Linked DNA regions of Neurospora crassa OR74A. The protein of the gene in region 2 purifies or fractionates together with the protein of the main gene of each other region. This does not show direct contact. Links are inferred from orthologs where the notes say so. Each region holds a gene or a part of one and is shown on either strand. Other genes may lie near its edges.

What was found.
Region 1: the proteins of gna-1 (region 2) and gng-1 purify together in Saccharomyces cerevisiae (affinity purification with western blotting; 3 studies listed by BioGRID, with this or other methods). This does not show direct contact. The link is inferred for Neurospora crassa OR74A from reciprocal best matches to the Saccharomyces cerevisiae genes GPA1 and STE18.

What each region holds. Positions count from the first base shown.
Region 1 is NC_026503.1:2,378,124-2,381,944, reverse strand, and holds gng-1 (guanine nucleotide-binding protein subunit gamma), read right to left. Parts: upstream 2,572-3,821; 5' UTR 2,392-2,571; intron 2,077-2,391; 5' UTR 1,881-2,076; coding exon 1,720-1,880; intron 1,625-1,719; coding exon 1,504-1,624; 3' UTR 816-1,503; downstream 1-815. Other genes in the region: NCU00042 (selenoprotein domain-containing protein), read right to left, coding at 1-25, 267-371. UniProt on the Saccharomyces cerevisiae protein: Implicated in the pheromone A- and alpha-factor response pathway. The beta and gamma chains of the putative yeast mating response pathway G protein play a positive role in initiation of the mating response.
Region 2 is NC_026503.1:1,614,143-1,618,648, forward strand, and holds the start of gna-1 (heterotrimeric G protein), read right to left. Parts: upstream 3,116-4,506; 5' UTR 2,722-3,115; intron 2,262-2,721; 5' UTR 2,188-2,261; coding exon 2,070-2,187; intron 1,972-2,069; coding exon 1,629-1,971; intron 1,571-1,628; coding exon 1,014-1,570; intron 955-1,013; coding exon 911-954; 3' UTR 1-910. UniProt on the Saccharomyces cerevisiae protein: Alpha subunit of the heterotrimeric guanine nucleotide-binding protein (G protein) that mediates mating pheromone signal transduction.

The DNA.
Region 1 (3,821 bases), about 760 kb from region 2:
AGGTTGAGAGGAGTTCTTGGGCGTACTGTATTTGAGAAGGGGGGTTAGAATTTTTGGAGATGTAGCTGAGGTTCATGTGATTCATGTGTATTTAACGGGAACGCGATTGGTGAAAGTGTGGATGATGAATGGTATAGGTGAAGTGGGAGGGTGAGGTGGGGGTTAGGGAATTCAGAAACCCTCTTCCGAGACGGTGAATAGATGACAGTGGCGAGACTCGAAGCGTCTGAAAAGTACTTGATATCTTCAGGAAACTTTCTACTCACATATGCTGCCCTAAGCATCCACTTGCACTGCGTACAAAAGCGGATGGTAACACGAGGAAGTAAAGTTGGAGTCGAGGCACTGGTAGTAGTAGGAGATTGGTCCATTATCCTTGTGTGTACTGGGAAATGCTATGTCAAGAATGAGAGTGATGTACATGTATATATATTCGCGTAGATGGAGGCCTCTTGATTGTTATGGACTTTGCGTGTTTTTCTCACTCTGGTCGGTTTTAGGTGGCGGCGTGTAAGTGGGAGTTCATGTGATTTGGAGGGAAGTCCACACGAGAAACGGCTAAATCCTGGAGCTGTACATACCTACTCAGCTCCATCGGATGGGTTCCGCACCCCGAATCGCCTGTGCGTCATCACGCCTCCGAACTAAACATGAGTTCATCAACAACCAGTGCGAGATCCCCAAAATGGATTACTACTATGTGAGGATTTACCAACCGTTAAGTGCACTGATAGAGACATTTTTCAATGTCTATCTCTCGACCCAACTGCAGCAATCCATCACATAGGATATCAAATTCCGTTGATGAGGAAACTGGAGCTATTTTGATGCATTCATTCAAATATCATCAGTTTGAGTAAAATCGATAGTCTAGTGCATTTCATTTGCCTCACTTATCATGTCGTAAGCCCCTTCCTTTCCAGACCCAGAAGAGGAAGCCGCGCGAAAAGCGCTTCATGAAGCAGGATATACACATGTAAAAGACAAAAAAGGGAATCGAGAAGGCCGAGTATAAAAGAGTACAACCGGGGAATAAGAAGCAAAAAAAAGGGAAAGAAAATATAGAAAAATAAAAAGGTATTACATGCTGAAGAGTCTGCCGAGCCTGCCTGCCGTAGATCCGAAGTAACGGATGGGGGGTATTTGAATAAGCATTATGGTCAGGCCAGCCGTCGTGTCTTCACTCCTCAAAACCTTTCTCCCCGGTTTGACGTATCGTGATAATGGCGGCGAAAAGGACGAACCGCAAACAATGCCGACTTCTTTCCGTCCCGATGATGCACATCTGATCGCTCATAATCTCCGATAACGTTCTCGGCCTTCCAAACCAACTCCGTCCGGATCCAATCCCGCTTGCAAACGACGGTGTCCGCCCCTCCAAAAGACTTTCGTAGGAATCGCTGTTTCGAAACGCTGAACTGATCGCCCGTGCTAAACAGAGTGACTCGAATGTCCTCCCCTTTTGTCGCCGCATTGATGTCGTAGCTTTTCGCAGTTGGCAATTTACATGACGACGCAGCACCCGCTGCTCTGTTGTGGCAAATACGGGTCTTCGGACTTGGGCACCGGCCCCCAAACACTTGGTACCATGTAGTCTCGTGTGCTGTTGCAGTAGGTGATTATGCTATATAGGGGAAAAGAAACGACTGTCAGCCTCATTGAACCACGACCGGCACATGTTGCCGAACGACCCGAGCAACAACGAATGGCAGTTCTCACCTCTTGGCTGCCTGGCTAACCGGAATCCTCTCCCTTTCCAAGTCCTCACGTAGTCGGTTGTTGAGTTCGGTCAATCGACGGAGTTTTAGATCGGCCATGCTTTGCTTGTTCTTCTTGATTTGCGACGGGTCGCCGACATCGCGAGAGGCGTACTGAGGCATTTTGGCTGATATTATCGAAGCCTCGACTCCAGGGTGGGAATTAAAGGAGTGTTGGAGTGTCGTCGGGGACGTGGGCGACAATGGTGCTGCGACAAAAGCCGACAACTAGTAGTTCGGACAGGCTTGGTGGTGAGGAAGGGTCGCAAGTAGAACTCGGGGTCGGTGGTGCTGTGGGTCTTTAACGATAGGAATTAAGCTGTTTAGACATGTCGTGTCAGCCGTGTTGTTCAGATGTCGTCGTCAATCGCCATTCATTCACTCCAGTCGGTGGTCGGGGTCGCGCTGATGCTTGCTCGTGTCGGGGGGGTGAGGGCGAGATGGAAAAAGAGTTGGAGTTCGGACTTCTCCCCCGGCGGTCCTCTGTCCTTGCTACTGACGGCTGGCGATTAGGCGGCCACGAAGGGGACGGACGGAGGTGCCAGACGTGAAAAATGAAGGGCGACGGCCGCGATGGAGCAATTGGAAAAATTGCGGCAAGCAGAGGGAACGATCAGAAATCGCGAATACATACCAGATACTCTTGGTAAAGGGCAACCTCCTGGCACGCAACGGGGAAAAGGTGATGATGTCGACAGTCGATAGTTGGGTTAAGCGAAGGGTCGGAGAAGGCGCAAATGGATCATTGACTGTCCCGAGGATTGAAGAGAGGGAGGAATTGCGGACAACGATGCCAGGAATGCTTAGGACCGACACACGATTGACGATTCCTAATAGCAAGTCTTGGGAAGAGAAGGGGCGCCCATATGGAAGTTCCTTCATTCCTTCAGTGCCACTGGCGGGCCCCGGACCGCGACGGGGGTCAGTGCGCAGCCTGTAGAACCAGTAGCAGCGCAGCAGGGAACGGTTCGGTAGGCGGGTGCAGTCCGTGCAATTCCCCAGCAGGCATGGACGCCCCAGTCTCCCCCTGCTTGGCCTGCTGCAGTGCTGCGCTTTTACCTGCACTTGCACTGCTGCAATGCTGGTCGCTTTCGGTGCTGCACTCCTCTTCTGGGCAGCCAAAGCAACCCAGGGCGACGAGGAAAAAAAGGGCCAAGTGCAAATGAGACGGACCAGGGGGTCGCTTAGCAGGGTTTGGTTAGATTAACTCGACACTAACTACGACCGTAGACGGAATGGGTGCAGACGAGTTAGTATCAAGACAAGATAGCAAGTATCACCACGAGCTCCGCATTCAGGATGAGGTGCCGGCCTCCCTATTGTCCTGCCCCATCCGTGCCATTGTGATTGACATTGTTGCAAGCTTCTGGAAGCGGGACTGGAGGTCAAGATCTAGGAAAAGAAAAGCACGATGGAGGCCGTTGAAGATGGACTGCTGCCACCGCCGCTGGATAGGCAGGGACAGGACTAGTCCGACCAACCGACGGGACCTTTTTTGGATCTGTCGGTGCTGCTGTGCATGAAAGCTGCAGCAAGAATGGCAAATGCAGGGCAGTCAGAACACGACGGGTTCCGCCCCCACTTTATCGTCCCCCCTTTGATGGTCTAGCGGAACCACCCCGGCTCAGCAGGCATCTCCGGACGGGATTGGGAATGGCGCCATTGGGTGGGTGCCCACTTGCTCCGACCGATGATGGACGCGAGCTTGAACGCTCTGGGTGGGACGACGAGGGTACAGAGGAGAGCCTCCTGTTTCTGCATGTATGTATGTATGTATGTATGTACACTACAGTAATCACAGACCGTGAAGTCCTATGCAGTTGCTGGTGTGCATTCAGCTACAGGAGAAGAGTTTGCAGCCACTCTAGCAGTTCAAGCAGCGATATCATATGCCTTTTAGGAGGATATATGTTCTTACTGGGGATTATCTTCTCAATACTCGACCGAAGTTCGCACCACGATTCTGTTCCAAGTTCCAACTAAGCCTCAAAGTGCAATTTCGTCGATGACAGCCGTGAGAAAGCTTGGCAAGACCGCCGACGGTCCGTCATCGGTCAAGGCGGG
Region 2 (4,506 bases):
CGTTGCGTTGCCCATAGGAAACCGGGACCGCCATTGCTCCCCTCTCCCACGCCGCCTGCAAAAACAAAGATAACACATCACGCGAATAAGCTTTCTTGGAAAAAACAGAAGAAGTAGAGTAAAAAAAAGGAAAAGAGACCTCGCTTGTCTTGGTATATCGTTTGCTGCACGCGCGCGCGCGCCGCAACGTTTCCCGCCCTCTGTTTTTCTTTGCCCTCTTACAGCCACAGAGGGGAGAATAGCGGAACGAAACGGGCGTCGCTCATCTCTTCGTCCGTCGTGGTTTTGGTAACCCCTGCTCTTTCTTCGCCTTTCCCTTCTCTACCTTCCCTCCAATCGGTAGCGACCTATTTGTTTCCAGCATCCTCTCCCCAGAACCCATGGGCTTGGATCCCATTACTTTCTCCCACACCACTCATGGAAAAACACCCGAGTAAGATTGAGAAAAGCACGCACGCCAAAATCATCCATTTCTTTTGTTGAGAGGGGCTTTTGCTTCCCGTAGCAGCCGCGGTGTCCCTGAGGAGAAAGAGCAAGGTGAAAAGCGCCCGGATCAGAGGGGATAGAAAAGATGATAGAAAAAAAAGAAATCGTACAGAACACCGATAGAGAGCAAAGACTCCAAGGTCGATGGGGAATCATGATTAAACAAAATAGTTAGCCCCCCTCTTGATGATGCTTCTCAAATGCAATTTCTCCAGGGACGCCCCGAGGTGTATGTAGAGCTCATATCCACTCGAAAGCCCACGCCACCTCCACTAGATCATAATCTGGAGGCAGAAACTGTGGGCATGGAGCCAGCGGCAGCGACTGGGCGGCAATACTCGAAGTTCTGATCGGTATCAACCGCTTGTCCGGACCTCACAGCCCCATTAACTGATGAAAAAATTAGAAAGATTGCGTTCAGTGCTCAAATCAAACCGCAGAGACGCAGGTTCTCCTGGATAATGATATCTGTTTTGGTCTGTTAGCTTCTTGTCCACGCAAAATTTCGAAGTAGACAAATAACATACCATTGACCGCAGCCATGACGAAACGAATTTGTGTGGTATCCGTCGCGCATGTGAAATGCGTGTAAATCTGCTTGGTCTCGTGCTGGTTCAAACTGACGAAGCGGTTGAGAATGTAGTCGCAAGCGGCAGCGTAGTCATCACCACCCTCGTAATCGGGGAAGTAGTTCTTCATCGGGCTGACCGGCAACTTCTCCTTAAACCTATCGATCTTGTTGAGGAAAAGAATGATGGATGTCTTGATGAACCACCTGGAGTTGCAGATGGAATCGAACAGAGTAAGGGCCTCCTGCATACGGTTGACGGTTTCATCTTCGAAAAGCAACTGATCGTACTCGGAAATGGCGACCAAGAAAAGAATGGTGGTGACGTTCTCGAAGCAGTGGATCCACTTCTTACGTTCGCTACGCTGGCCACCGACATCGAACATACGGTACGTAAGATCGCCAATAATGAAGGTCGTTTCCGTAATACCGGTTGTCTTGACACGTGATCGCAGAACGTCCTGGTCGTTGGGCATATAGTCGGGCGCGGCGATACGAGCGATGTTATCGAAGTAGCTGTGACAGCATGTTAGCGGTTGGAGACCAGAGCCTCCCTCATCATGCGGAGACTTACTATCTTGCCGAGTCGTTCAATTGGTATTCCCTTGACCTCTTAAAGCAGCTCTGGACGCCAGCGTCCCTCCAGAGGGCCTCGATAGCATTGCCAACCTCAGGAGGCAGCACGTCACCTTCTATTTGAGCGGGCTGCATGAAGATGGTCTGGACATGGTACTCGACGCGCTGATCGGCGAGTGGCAACTCTAGGGACTCCATGGCCTCGAGAATGACACGCATGGACTGCACAGTGTTGCTGAAGATGATTTCCTTGAACGACTCGCGCTCGTCGCGCGAGTAACCTCCTTCGTGGATAAGCTTCATCTGCTTCAAGATGGTCGACTTTCCGGATTCACCAGCACCTGCAACATATTGTCAGCTTCTGTGAAATTTCATTGGTGACCCAAGGGTCCGGACCAGGGCCGCGCCAGCAATTGGCTTGTCGGGGGGCATGACATACCCAGAAGAAGCATCTTGATCTCATTGCGTTGTTGCATGCGATCCCTCTTGAGCTGGTTCTCAATCTCCTCGTTCCGGGCCTTGCCCTCCTTCTCCTCTGTACTCATTCCGCAACCCATTTTGGCGACTTGTTGTAGCTCGTAGCAATGATAGAGAGTGTCTGTTTCGTTATTCGGGGATTATTATCGACGGTCTGGTGACGAGTTTGAGGTTAGTATCAGAGCGATGATAATTGAGACGAACTGGGACGTCGACAGGCGATTTGTATTTGTAAGTGTTAGGGGGGGCGAGAACCCCCTGGTCTCTGGGGGGACGGGAGGCAGTCCAGTTGGAGTCTCCGCTGCGAAAAATAGCGGGTGCCCTTCCAGAAACGAGCTAGAACCACCACCCCCGAAAAGCCTCGGAGTCGCTGTCATTGCGCCCATTGAAACCGCAAACAAATGTCGGATCGAGGCTCGATGGTCGATGCAGTTTCGAAGGTGTCGATTGTTGGGCATGGCAGCGCTCGGTGAGGTGCGATTGATGGGCAGCAAACAGGACAGACAGCCTTTGAGGGCAGCACGACGAGGCCAGAGGATAATGGGATGCAAAGGCGTTCGTTCTCTTGCGGTGGACTGGACTGAATGAAGTGCTTATGTTGCGAACCTACTCACTTTTTTTTTTCCGGCAGTATACCACGCAATTGCAATTAGGCCTTCAATCAACCGCACTTGATTGGAAGGGGAGCGTCGGATCGGTTGGTGCGAAAGGGAGAGACGGGTGCAGCTCGATAATTAGAAAGTCGTCAAGACCATACGATAGGTAGGTGATTGTCGCGAGGTAGGCGGCCAAGAGTAGAGTTGCTGCTGGACTCTCTCAGCAATTCGCGGTTTGCGGGAGGAAGGTTGTCGAGCCGGAAAACGGAAAACGAAAGGAAGGGAAAGATTGGGGAATTGGTGGAGGAATGGGAGGTTGGCTTTGTCGGTGTTAATGTGAGTGAAATGGAATGGTGCGCACTCTCACACCAGACCCAAACCAGGCGACCAGGCACACTCCAGCACTGATGCGTAGGTGCTGACTGCGTAGTGCGTACAGGCATCGGGCAGGCGCACAGTACAGGCACTACGCTAGACGGCACTCCGATTTCCAGTCCCAGTTCCATCAGTGAATTTCGGGGGCAGCGACCCAGCAGAGACCCACCGCGCACTCTCCAAGGTGAGATGGGCTCCAGCCGCGATGGCACTCTGGCTAATCAGAGGCGGTCGTTGCGTGCATGCAAGTGGGCCAATGCAACAGACCCTGGGCTGCCGGTCTTGGGAGTTGGGACGATGGACTCCTCCTCCTCGTTTGGATGCCGACCTGTACGACCATCATTGACCCTTTTCGTCCTATTTGAACCTCTTTTTTTGATAACACGGCTTTGCCCTTTGAGGTTGCTTTGCGACTGGCTGCCTTGCCCTGTGCCTGGCTTCCTAGTTCCAAACATTGTGAGTGGATGCTACTCTAGGCTGCTGTTCATGTTCATGCACCGCGTCGACGGTGGAAAGAGCGTAACATCGCCCACCCCCTTCGAGACCCTCTCTATCCATTTTGATCCATCGCCCACCCGACGTGTGCCCCTGGCCTGGCCTCCAGTGGCATCCGTACCTGGCATGACATGGAATGGAACAAAAACGGCGGACACCACTGGCCACCATCATCACCCTTTGCATTTCGACAATCGCCCTTTTCTGCTCCAGTTCCTCGCTCCAGTCCGGCCCATCCCATGCGATCACCAAGGGGATGGCCACATGGCGGTGGGCGAATTTTACCCCAAGACTGCCCATCCTGACCGTTTGAAATTTGGCCAGCCGATAACAGCCATTGTCGGTCGAATGAAAAAAAGCGTTTCCAGTTTTCATGTTTCTTGGTTCTCCTGACTTAGCTCAAAGAGTGGATCTCTGGGCAAAGGCTAGTCGGCATCCCAACGCGGCCATGTTTTTGCGCTGGAGCCGTGTCGAGCCCCGTTTCGTCCGTACCTCCGGGTCAGGAACAGAAGAAGAAGAAGAAGCAATGTACTGCGTAGTGTAGTGCCTACCTCGCTAACATCTCCATATTCCGTACACACACTACCGACTTCGTACACACAACACTACTACATGCGCTACGAATGCGCAGTCACTGCGATTAATGGCTTCTGTCAACACGAGACCGATTGAGTGATTGCAAAAACAAGATGTTGGAAACCCACTGAACTGTCCCGGGCCAGAATTAGCAACAGCGTATCAGCAAAGGTACGGGAAAGACCATGAGAATCTCTACAATTGATATGGTATCACGCCGCTGAGCACATCACGTCGTGCACGGATTTTGTGTATGTGCGATACGGTTCAGCGATTGGGAAACGAGGCTTATGAGGATAATCCCCTTCTCATTCCATCTGTCTGCCATGTCACTGAACCCTGATCTGTCGAATTCGA